3 linked regions of the Diceros bicornis minor genome follow. The protein of the gene in region 2 purifies or fractionates together with the protein of the main gene of each other region. This does not show direct contact. Links are inferred from orthologs where the notes say so. Each region holds a gene or a part of one and is shown on either strand. Other genes may lie near its edges.

Evidence for each region.
Region 1: the proteins of WDR5 (region 2) and TAF7 purify together in Homo sapiens (affinity purification with western blotting; 3 studies listed by BioGRID and IntAct, with this or other methods). This does not show direct contact. The link is inferred for Diceros bicornis minor from reciprocal best matches to the Homo sapiens genes WDR5 and TAF7.
Region 3: the proteins of WDR5 (region 2) and BOD1L1 purify together in Homo sapiens (affinity purification with mass spectrometry; 4 studies listed by BioGRID and IntAct, counting the BioPlex papers as one, with this or other methods). This does not show direct contact. The link is inferred for Diceros bicornis minor from reciprocal best matches to the Homo sapiens genes WDR5 and BOD1L1.

Annotation. Positions count from the first base shown.
Region 1 is NC_080740.1:59,489,592-59,493,336, reverse strand, and holds TAF7 (transcription initiation factor TFIID subunit 7), read left to right. Parts: upstream 1-930; 5' UTR 931-1,175; intron 1,176-1,298; exon of another isoform or gene 1,299-1,551; 5' UTR 1,552-1,638; coding exon 1,639-2,688; 3' UTR 2,689-3,216; downstream 3,217-3,745. UniProt on the Homo sapiens protein: The TFIID basal transcription factor complex plays a major role in the initiation of RNA polymerase II (Pol II)-dependent transcription.
Region 2 is NC_080767.1:41,024,781-41,028,525, forward strand, and holds the start of WDR5 (WD repeat-containing protein 5), read left to right. Parts: upstream 1-1,392; 5' UTR 1,393-1,453; intron 1,454-2,071; 5' UTR 2,072-2,149; intron 2,150-3,454; 5' UTR 3,455-3,510; intron 3,511-3,745.
Region 3 is NC_080747.1:10,457,651-10,461,395, reverse strand, and holds the start of BOD1L1 (biorientation of chromosomes in cell division protein 1-like 1), read left to right. Parts: upstream 1-1,010; 5' UTR 1,011-1,109; coding exon 1,110-1,346; intron 1,347-1,456; exon of another isoform or gene 1,457-1,668; coding exon of another isoform or gene 1,669-1,785; intron 1,786-3,745. UniProt on the Homo sapiens protein: Component of the fork protection machinery required to protect stalled/damaged replication forks from uncontrolled DNA2-dependent resection.

The sequences.
Region 1 (3,745 bases), on a different chromosome or scaffold from region 2:
TCCTACTAAAAAATAAATGGAAATAAATAAGTGGAAACTGTTACATAGTTAGGCCAAACTACTATAAATACGTGTTGATGAATACCTGAATACCCAGAGAAGAGACAAGCAGAAAACAGTTATCAAAACAGCAAGGGTGGAATGAAAAACATTCCGAACTATTTAAAAATTACTGGCAAGTGAGTGGCAGGTAGTAACACTTCAGTTATATTCTACTTCGATCAGACTATTTGTCTACCAGACAACTCTGATCTAAACAAATACGTGCCTCCAGAAGAACACTTACTTCTCTGTTTACATTTATATCTAAACTAAACATATTAAAAAGAGAAATCACCCTTGTTCCCTTGGGGTCCGTCAAAACGGTAACAGACCCTGAGGCATGAGTCCCCTTTGGGCATTTTCATAATCAACAACAAAAAATAGAATTATATAGTGAGCAGCATGTCCTCCTCACTCGACTGACTTGGGTACTTTAAAATCCACTGTATGGTTAACTATAAATTGTTGTATCGGCTCCATATTGGATATACCCGGGGGAGCATCCGAGCCGTTTCCAGAAGCAAAGACGCTTTGCGCACGGACGCCCTATTTCCGGAAATCACCCGGAAGCCTAGACGCTGTCCCGCCCCACGGCGATCCGGTGAAAGTTCTGGCTCAGCGACGGGGGTGGCGGCAGGACCTACGTCTTTCTTGGAACCGTTTTCTCTAAATTTTCTCAAACCAATAACTGTTTATGAAACACTGTCACTTTTAACGCGTAAAGCCAACTTCTCGCGAGAAGCCAAATCACGCCGGATAGCGTAATTGTGCGTTGCGCCTGCGCGCGCTGGGGCAGTTCGTACTTCCGCGTGAGGCGTGCTGTCACTCACAGCCGCTGGCCGCCTCGCGCAGTGACGTAGTGCTTTCTCCTCCGCTACGTCTGCAGCTCCGCCCAGAGGTTTGTCTCGCTGCGGAGCTGCAGCTTGGCGCTGGGCGCTGCGGGTCCCGGTGAGCTTTCGTGCTGCCCATCCTGGGCCATTTCATTGATAAGCAGTAGCGGATCGCTTTGCTACGAGCCGGGAAGAACAAAGGAATCAGGAAGGAGACGCTCGGCCCGGCCGCCTCGCGCCGAGTTGCTGCTGCTTCCGCTGGCTCCTGTCTGGATAAGCTGGGTTTATAGTCGTCACTCGATTGTAAGTACCCGAGGCGAAGAGAGCTCACTGCGCTCCGCTTTTTGAATATCTTTGTTCCGGGACCTTTTGTGGATTGGGAGTGTCTGCTGGGCCTTACTTTCTGTGCCGAAAATCTTTCTGCAGGAGCCGCCATTTGCTTTCTTGCTAGCTTGCTCTCTCTGCATTGTTCGGCAGCGGCATCTAGAGGTTGGAACTTGGCATTGCAGCTAGTAGATCTAAATGGACCGAACTGAATAAGTCATGGTGTCAGTAACCACTGGTATTCAGGCACAGAATATTTAGAAAGACTTGGGGCTTAATTCAAAATTAAGAGAAAATAGATGCTTAGCTGCTGTACTACCGAGAACTATTTGTAATTAAAGATTTCCATTCATAGCAAACAGGTCTTTCTAACTGCTGCAATAGCTGGAACTTTTTAGTGCAACAAGTGGTTATTGGAGAAGTGAGTCTGAAAGAAATAAAGATGAGTAAGAGCAAAGATGATGCTCCTCACGAACTAGAAAGCCAGTTTATCTTACGGCTACCTCCAGAATATGCCTCTACTGTGAGGCGGGCAGTACAGTCTGGTCATGTCAACCTGAAGGACAGACTGACAATTGAGCTACACCCTGATGGGCGTCATGGAATCGTCAGAGTGGACCGGGTCCCACTGGCCTCCAAATTGGTAGATCTGCCGTGTGTTATGGAAAGTCTGAAAACCATTGATAAAAAAACTTTTTACAAGACAGCTGATATCTGTCAGATGCTTGTCTCCACAGTTGATGGTGATCTGTGCCCTCCTGTGGAGGAACCAGTTGCTACTGCTGATCCCAAAGCAAGCAAGAAAAAGGATAAGGACAAAGAGAAGAAGTTTATATGGAACCATGGAATTACTCTGCCTCTAAAAAATGTCAGAAAGAGAAGGTTCCGGAAGACAGCAAAGAAGAAGTATATTGAATCTCCAGATGTGGAAAAAGAAGTGAAGCGGTTGCTGAGTACAGATGCTGAAGCTGTCAGTACTCGTTGGGAAATAATTGCTGAAGATGAAACAAAAGAAACAGAAAATCAAGGCCTTGATATCTCTTCTCCAGGAATGTCTGGCCACAGGCAGGGCCATGACTCACTAGAACACGATGAGCTTCGGGAGATATTCAATGATCTCAGCAGCAGCAGTGAAGACGAAGATGAGACACAGCATCAGGATGAAGAAGATATAAACATCATTGACACTGAGGAAGATCTGGAAAGACAGCTACAGGACAAGCTAAATGAATCAGATGAACAGCACCAAGAAAATGAGGGAACTAATCCGCTGGTTATGGGAATTCAGAAACAGATTGATAACATGAAAGGCAAGCTCCAGGAGACACAGGACAGGGCAAAGCGACAGGAAGATCTCATCATGAAAGTAGAAAACCTGGCCCTCAAGAACAGGTTTCAGGCTGTGCTGGATGAACTCAAACAAAAGGAAGACCGAGAAAAGGAGCAGCTCAGCTCTTTGCAGGAAGAGCTAGAATCACTCCTAGAGAAGTGAGAAGAGCTTTGATACTGAATTTCATTCCTTAGACTAGTCAACATTAAAGGAAAGTTCTTGGCTTCATCACCTGGACTAGATATTATAATTTTGCAATAGTTCTGATTTCCTCCACTGCCTTCTATTGTGTTTGTTTTATAAACAAATATAAATGTGAATTTCTATTTCATTTGTCTCTCAGAACCACTTTGCTAGGTGTTTGTCCTGTAAAAAGTAGGAATGTATAGACAGATAAGTGATTGTAGGAAAGTTGTAGGGTTAGTGGAATGAACAGTTCAACCTTAGTAATCACAGCCTCACTGCAGGACTTTGCTGCTATTTCTCCATTTGCCAAAAGCTGGTGTTGCTGCTTTGTGGTGACATCTGAGATCAATAAGAGTCTAGTCTGGAAGCAGTGAAGCTAGTTTGCATATGTTTTCCTATGCAGTAGCTATTTTCCTAGCTATTCCAAGCAATTTTCCACATGTAGAGTTGCAAATAGTTTCTTAAAGTTGTTTTAACACAATAAATAAAAGCAACTAATTTTCACCTCATAATGTGTCTTCCTTTTTTAGGGGTAGTGGGTGTGTCAGATCCTCTTATAAGGTGGTTTCTTGGTGGGATTTAATGACTGAGCAATTTGATCGTGTTTTGTAGGGAAAGAAACAGTTATGTTGGGTTTTAGGGAAAACCCAACAGCGGGGGGCAAAGAAATTGGGAAATGTCATCTTTGCATTATATTAAGTTTCCAATCCACCTGCTCCATTTGGAAGTTAGGAAACACTAGGTACAGAACCTTCCTAAACTACCCTAATTTTTGTACATGTAGGTCTATTTTTATCTTTTTTTTTTTTAAGTACTACACATCTGCTTAAAATATTAGAAACAAAACAAAGTAAGGGCTATCAAGTACTGTTCATTGAATCATTCCATTGGTTTGGATTAAGATTGTATTTCTAAATATTTTCAACTTAATTTCTGCAATTATTTAATATTCTGAGAACTGAAGTGATTTGTCCATGTCAGTTGGTCAAAATTGCTCATAAAGGAAGTCAGTACTGTAGTCTGATATTTCAGA
Region 2 (3,745 bases):
GATGCCCTTCTTCATCCTGAGCTGCCTTTGCGACTACCTTCGATAATCACCGCCTCATGCTCCAGGGCACCTGGCCCAAGGTGACTAGGCCTCCTGGGTACAGAGATCCACACGGAGCCATGCCAGGGCCAGATGGGGACTTTGCTGCCCCTGCTTCCTCCGTGGGGGGCTCCAGATAAGCCACCAGTCTTTGGCTCCTGCATCTGACAACCACACACCTCATGCACATTCTCTGGGCATTTCCATTTCAAATGCTCTGTCCTTCTGTTTGCACAGGTTCCTGTGTCGTATTTGGTGTTCCCATTTTTAATTGGGAAATAGGTTGCACGTAATTCTACCCACAGGCCTGGGTTGAGGCCATGGAGCTGCCGAGACCATCACCACTTCCCCAAGTGGGCAGCAGAAGTGGGGCAGCAGGGTGAGAATGCGCGGGACTTAGGGCCAGAACGGTGGCTCCAGGTTCTCCTCATGGCCCTGAGCCCTCCTCTCTGGCGTCCCCTTCCACATTTGTAACTGGAGGTGAGCCTACCTGTCTGTGACATCACCTTGCAGACAGCAGAGCAGCCTGCATGCAGTGACTGTTAGTATTGACTCTCCTTCTTGGGGGGCGCAGGAGAGAAGCAGGTGCGCCCCGCGGGCTCTCTGCGTGGAGGCGGGAAGAGCACCAACCAGGCAGCCGGCCCTGCGGGAGAGCTCGTGGGCGCAGTGCAGGGATTCTGAACCTTTCGGAGCTCAGGTTCCTGGCTTCAAAGTAGAAGGTAAGGACCCCTGTGCAGAGGTGTCCGAGCATTAATTGAGATACTAGGCGCCGAGCACGGCCAGGGCCGGCTAGACGCTCTGCACGCGTTAGCTGCCGCCCATCAGCGAGCGCCACAAGGAAGGAGGGACGCGATCCAGGACATGCCCATCCCAGAAGAAAGGTTAGGGCCCCGCTGCCCCTCCAATCCCGCATAGGAGCGGTGCTCCTCCCCGGAGGCGCCTCGCGGGGCGAGCTCGGGACGTGAACATGCGAGGGGCACGCTAGCCTTTCCTGTAGGTATCATCCTACTTCCGTTTTTAGAAAGTGCAGGACAAGAAGGGGACGCACCGGCCACCTTTGGCGTTCACGCTTTTAAGCAGGAAGCGCGCGCAGCACGCGGTCCCTTTAAGGCGTTGGGCCTGCCCGAGGCATTCTGCCCTTCGCCGCTCCCCGTAGCGCCCCTTCGAGAGGCTGGCTTTGTGCGCTCGCCCCGCCCCGACGCCGCCCCCCCCGGCGCACGCGCACTGCTGGCCCCGCGCCGCCCCGCCCCTGGCGCACGCGCACGCGCACTGCCCGCCCCGACGCCGCCCCGCCCCTGGCGCACGCGCACGCGCACTGCCGGCCCCGCGCCGCCTCGTCGAGCTAAGCCCGGCTCCCGCCCAGGCGGCGGCCGACGCAACGCCCGAGCGCCCGCCCCGCCCGGCGCGCCCGGAGGTAAGGGGGCCGCCCGCCCGGTGGGCACACTCGGGGGCGCGGGGCGGGCCGGCGCCGCCGCACCCCACGCCGCCCCGCCGCCGCACGTGTTGGCGGGCCCGGCCTCGGCCGCGGGCCGGCCCAGCCCCGGGCCCCGTGCGGGCGGACGGCCGCCCCGCCGCCGCCTCGCCTCGGGCGCCGCGCCCCCTCCTCCCGTCGGCCCCGGCCCCGCCCCTGCGGAGCCCGCCCGCACGCGCGGCCGCCCCCCGGCTGCCTCTCCCCGCGGTCGGTGACAAGCGCGAGGCCGGCACGGCGGCTCTGCCCTGCAGCCGGCGTGCCTCTCCGCTGTGCCTCCGCCGCTCCTCCGGGGAAGGACCCCAGGCCCCGGCCCCCCGTGCCTGCAGCCCTGACTGCCCCTCCTCTGCAGAGACGCCGCCACCCGACCTGCTGCCCACCCTCTGCCCGAGGCAGCCAGGCCCCCTCGCTCCTGAGGTCCCAGGACGGGGTCCCCGCGTGCCGGTCCGCTGTCACGAAGGGAGAGACCATCTCCTGTCTGGTCTGCTAGAGCCATTTTGAGGGAGGTGAAAGACTCCCTCTCTCCCTCCCTCCTAGCCTTCTCACCCGGTTTCTGCCCCCCAGGTCCGTTCACCGAAGCCCTGGCAGGTGCTGTGGTCGACACTGCCTCTGAGGTTGGCCCGCCCCGCACAAGGCAGATAGGTAAGCTGGAACGGAAGCGTGTCTGCGTGTCCCAGAACCGAGGCAGGGAGAGCCAGGTTCCCCCACTCTCTGTGGGTCTAAGGGGCTGCCGCCTTTGAGGCACCAGTTACGTCCTGTCTTCCCACACCTGTGGGCCCAGTCTCTGGGGGAGCCCAGGAATCTGCATTTTACAAGCAGTCTAGGAGAGCTCTCCAAGGTTTGGGAGGCTCGGCCTTAGGTGGTCAGGCTCACCTGGGAAAAAGCTGTGGGTGCAAAGAGGTGGCAGGTAGCACGTGCTCTGGGGGCCGACTCCCTATGGCCTTTCCTGCAGCCTGATTGCGTTCATCATCTCCAGTTCTCTTTCCTAAGGAGCTGGTCCCTAACCAGCTTCCCAGTTGTCTCAAAACGATTGTTCTGGGGCCCGCCTGGTGGCGTAGCGGTTAAGTTGGTGGGTTCCGCTTTGGGGGCCCAGGGTTTGCCGGCTTGGATCCTGGGCCCGGTCCTCCTCACTGCTCATCAAGCCATGCTGAGGTGGTGTCCCATGTAGAAGAGCTACAACTCTCCAACTATGATACACAACTATGTAGTGGAGCTTTGGGGAGTAAAAAGAAAAAAAGAGGAAGATTGGCAACAGATGTTAGCACCGGGCCAATCTTCCTCAAAGAAAAAGCAAGAAAAAAAGTATTAACAAAAAAGATTGTTCTACGGAATCATGAGTGTTTATGAAAAATGCCAAGCTCCCCCCTTCTTAAGTAGAAACTTGGAGCATTGAGTTAATTGATTGTATTCTTAAAAGTCTGGCTGATTTTTTGCAAGTTAATGTTTGCTAGCCTGGGATTGGGCTTGAGCTGGGAGGGCTGGGCACCTTTCCTGTAGGACCACGGCTGTAGCCTCTGGTCCTCACCTTGGGGCAGCCAGTTGTTTGCGGGAGTCACACTCCACCTCCTGGTGGGTCTCAATTTTTATGCTAAAAGGAGCTGCACTGGGTCCCCTGAGCTACCCTTTTCACCCCAGAGGAAGCCTCTTCTGTTCCCACTGGTGTTTTGCTTGGCGCCTGTGGTCCACTCTTCTCCACCCTCCTTGCTGTGGCCGGGCTTCTTCACACTGTAGGTTCTGTGAAACAGACTTTCCAGCTTTCTGCCTTAGCTCCTCTCTCCCTCCGCTTGTGCAGCCTACGAAGGGGAAGGCAGCCCTTGGGTTAACTGGCACAGCCCAGTTGCATTAAAGATAATCACCAGTAGCTGGTGGTTACTGAGCCCCAGCTTTGTGCCGACACTTCGTCCCTGGCAGGTTTCCCTGACCTGCCCCTCCGCTCCCCCACTTCAGGACTCGGGCTCTGGGTGCAGCGTGATCCGTCCCTGGGCCTGGAATCCTTGCTGCAGGTAACCAGCCGTGGCCGCACGTGTGCTCTGCACAGCCGTGTTGCATTGTGATGTCTCTTCCTTCCGCTTGGATGAAGGCTTTGAGACATGCTCTTTTTGGATGGCTCCCGTTTCGCCTTGGTGTGACGAGGAGCCTGTGCAAGCTTTCAGTGTTAAGCTCTGAGCGAGGATTCACAGTGTGTAAACTTGGTAGATTGATGGTAGTGTTGGCTTTCGGGAGTTGGATGGCCAGTGA
Region 3 (3,745 bases), on a different chromosome or scaffold from region 2:
AAGAGGGGGGATGACCTCATTTCTAGAAACTTATCAATGTGGAAGGTGAGGCCTTAAATCTGCATGATAACCTTACTCTTGTTTACTGTGCTTTAGCGGTAATCTCCTGTAACTGACTCCCCCGGCCCCCAAAATCCTCCTGTCTTTAGCAAAAGATGATATTTAAGACAAGAATTTCTGCTATTGTGTTGAGAAACGCAGTGTCCCTGGTTTCTCCCATGTTTACATGTTATTAAAATTGGTATTATTTTCTCCTGCTAACCTGTCTTGTTAATTATTTGGCCAGCCATAAGAACCTAAGGGAAAGGGCAGAGGGGGATTCTCCCTCTTTCCCCAACATTATCAAATAGAAAAACCCTTACAACTAAAAACCCATGGGTTTGTGTTCACCGGCAGGAAGAAGGTGCTGGAGGGATGGGGTTCTAGTCAGCAGGCACACTTGGAGAGTAATAACAGATGCCTAAGGAAAAACAGGATGGGGCTGGGAGAAGAGATACAGGAGGCCCCCGAAGCTCCCTGCTTAGAAGAAATCTGGGCAGGATCATAGCCTGAGAACGAAAAGGGTTGGGAGAGCTTAGGATAAGCAGTTCCACGCACGGTTCGCATTCTCAAATCTATGGGTCTCAACTGCTGCGGGAAACAGGAGAGAGCGCGTCAGGCCTAAATGCCACCGTGGATCGAACGGGCCAGCGCCTCCCTCCCCCGCCGGGGCCTGCTCCGAGCAGGCGCCCAGTCGGCCCTCCCGCCAGGGCAGTCGCGCGGGTCGAACGCCCCACCGCCTTGGACTCCAGGCCCCCGCCCCGGCCCAGACCCCGCGGCCCACGGCGCGCTCCGCCTCCTCCCCGTCGCTTCCGACGCAGCCCGGCCGCGCGAGGGCGCCGGCGCCCGGCGGCGGCCGGAAATGGCCCCTCGCGGCTCCCGTCGCCGGACCTTCGTTGCTATTGTCACCTCCTTTTCCTCCCTTCCCCCGGTTCCCTTTCACTTCCGGGGTTGCTCTGGATCCGCTGGTTCCGTAACAACATCCCGTTGGCTTCCCTTAGGCGGCGGGACCTGTGCAGCCGCCGCCTCCCAGGAGCGCCCGCCCGCGCCCTCCCCGGCCCCAGGCCGCCATGGCCACCAACCCGCAGCCGCAGCCGCCTCCTCCGGCGCCGCCGCCTCCCCCGCCGCAGCCGCAGCCGCCGCCGCCACCACCGGGCCCCGGGGCTGGTCCCGGCGCGGGCGGGGCAGGCGGCGCGGGGGCCGGCGGCGGGGACCCGCAGCTCGTGGCCATGATCGTGAACCACCTCAAGAGCCAGGGGCTCTTCGACCAGTTCCGCAGGGACTGCCTGGCCGACGTGGACACCAAGGTTCGGGCGCGCGGGGCTGCGGGTGTGCGGGGGAAGGGGAGGACCCCGAGGGCCGCCTGCTCGAGCGGTCTCCCGCGCCCGTCGATGGGCCGGCTGCGCCTCGACTTCCCGGCCGGGGCCCCTCTCCAGCGCGCCTCTCCCCGAGTCCCCCGTGCAGCCGCTTCCTCTTCGCGCTGCTGCCCTGTGCCCGGCGCTGTGCAAGGCGCGGTGCGTTCATTCATTCGCCTGTGCGCCCGTTCGCTTAACCGACTAGTGGTGAGCACCTACTACGCTGCCGAGGCGCTGGGAACCTACCGCTGAGCAGGACCAAGTCGTTGTTCCCATGGAGACTCGTTTGGAAACACCAACGCTAACGGTGCTTTCATCTCTGATTAGTTTTCTTCCCGGTTTAGTTTGTATCCAAGTTATTTTTGCCTCCTCTCTTGAAGATTTCTGGGCGGTAAGGGTCATGTCTTTATTCTTTGGAGGAATTATTAAGTGATAATTGAGTCAGATTTGCAATGTGCATTTCTGGACATTGTAGGGATGCAAAGGTAGGGAGGCAGAGCTGGACAGTGGCAAGATGGGTTGGGGAGATCCGGGACTTTTGTTTCTACCAGTAACCGCTTCGTTTAGGTAGCTTAGGCCAAGTTACTCCTCTAAAGTGAGAAGGGAGGGAGAGGTGAGGAGTAGAGACAACTGAGCCATGCCGTGGGGGAAAGGATGGAGGAGAGGTGATAGCAGATATTGAAGTGGAGAAAGGACAGGACATGAAATGGAAGAAGAGTGAGTTGAGAGAGTAAGGGAGAGAGGGGAAAGGTCAGCAAAGTGGTTCCCTTCACAAAACGAGTTAGGGACTGGGAAGGGAAAGGGACTTTGTACCAAATGTCAGAGTGAGAGGGATGTTGGCAGAAACAGGTAAACTTAGCTGGTTTGGCAAAGAATGAGCAGAGGACACCAGGAAGAAGCCATCAGGTGAATTGGATGGAAAACCAGTAGGGTCTGGAATTCTGGAAGCAAGTGAAGCAGGAAGCTTCAGGTGGAAACAGTTGGAAAAGTGGGGGTGTTTTTGGTTTAGATCTGGTTGGATCCATGGAATTGGAGTTTTGATGGGGTGAGAGTTTCCTTGTAGCATGTTCGGCTGTTCTGAGGAGACTTGTTTCTTTGGGAAAGGGTTGTTTGCAACATACGCCGATTCTTCCCTGTGACTGTGTTCACCAGGCTTTGAGGTGAACTGCACAAAATCCCGCTGTCTCCTCTGGGAAAGCCCTCCTGACAATCTGGGGACATCTTCCCTTTTAAGGACTCTGGCCCACCATGTAGAACAGAAGTAAAATTTGCCTTTTCAGCATGTTGGAGTTTTTGCACACGGAGAATTCATTTTACATGGGGATGTTGATCTGTGTAGGAAGTATATAGTTTTCTCACTTTGTTTTAGAGAATATGCACAGCTACCTTTTTGAAAATAACTTTTGGAAAATAAAGAGGCTTGTTGCCTCTTTCTTTTTTTTTTAATGGAAGATTAGATTAGATGTGGCCAGGTAAATATTACCCAAATACACCTGGTTATTTGTATCGGGCAAGTAAAGATTTCATTTTGCTGTTCTCAGAAACCTACAGATCTCTGTTATCACTGTATATGCAAATTGAAAATTTAAATATACTGATGGGGGTGCTGCAGTATCTAAGGTTCAACTTTTTCTTCATCCCCATCCCCACTAAATGTTGTTGTTGTGTGCCAGATCCTCTCAAGGTGGAGCCTTCGAACCTTTCTTGGGAGGAAGGAGGGAAGCACAATTGCTTTGACAATCTGATGAAAGCTAGGACCTTCTCCCAAGAAGAATGCACATATACACATTAAAATGCTGTTTTTATAATTCAAAAATGGTCAACTATAGGCAATTTCATGTGATTCAACCTTATAGTTTCAGGGAATTCAGGGACCGCAGAATAAAGATTCCTTGTTTTAATGTTTGAGGCTAGAGAAGAACAGAACTGAAAGGATACCCCCACCCTGACAGAAGGGGGTGCCTGGGTATGGTTGAGATTGAAGTTCTCTCCTCACTCTTCATGTGTGCTCGCTCTCTCTCTCTCTCTCTCTCTCTCTGTCTCCGTCTCTCTCTCTGTCTCTCTGTCTCTCTCTCGTCTTTCTACCTCTGCACCTGTTGTTTCTGATTTTCTTGCTTCTTTCCCCGTTGACTATCTCCTTTTTCCTCCTCCTTCTCCTCCTGCTTTTCGTCCTCTTAGCTAGCAATTACGTAGATTTCAGTTTAAAATATTTGCTTTTGTTGAGTAGTGCTTTATACTCCTTTTCCTTATCTAAAAAAAAAGAGTAAGTTTGAGAGTCTCAAGAAACATACAAAAACCAAAGTTTTTTTTCATATAAGCTTAACATTCCTATCATTGTGATGAGTGGGCCA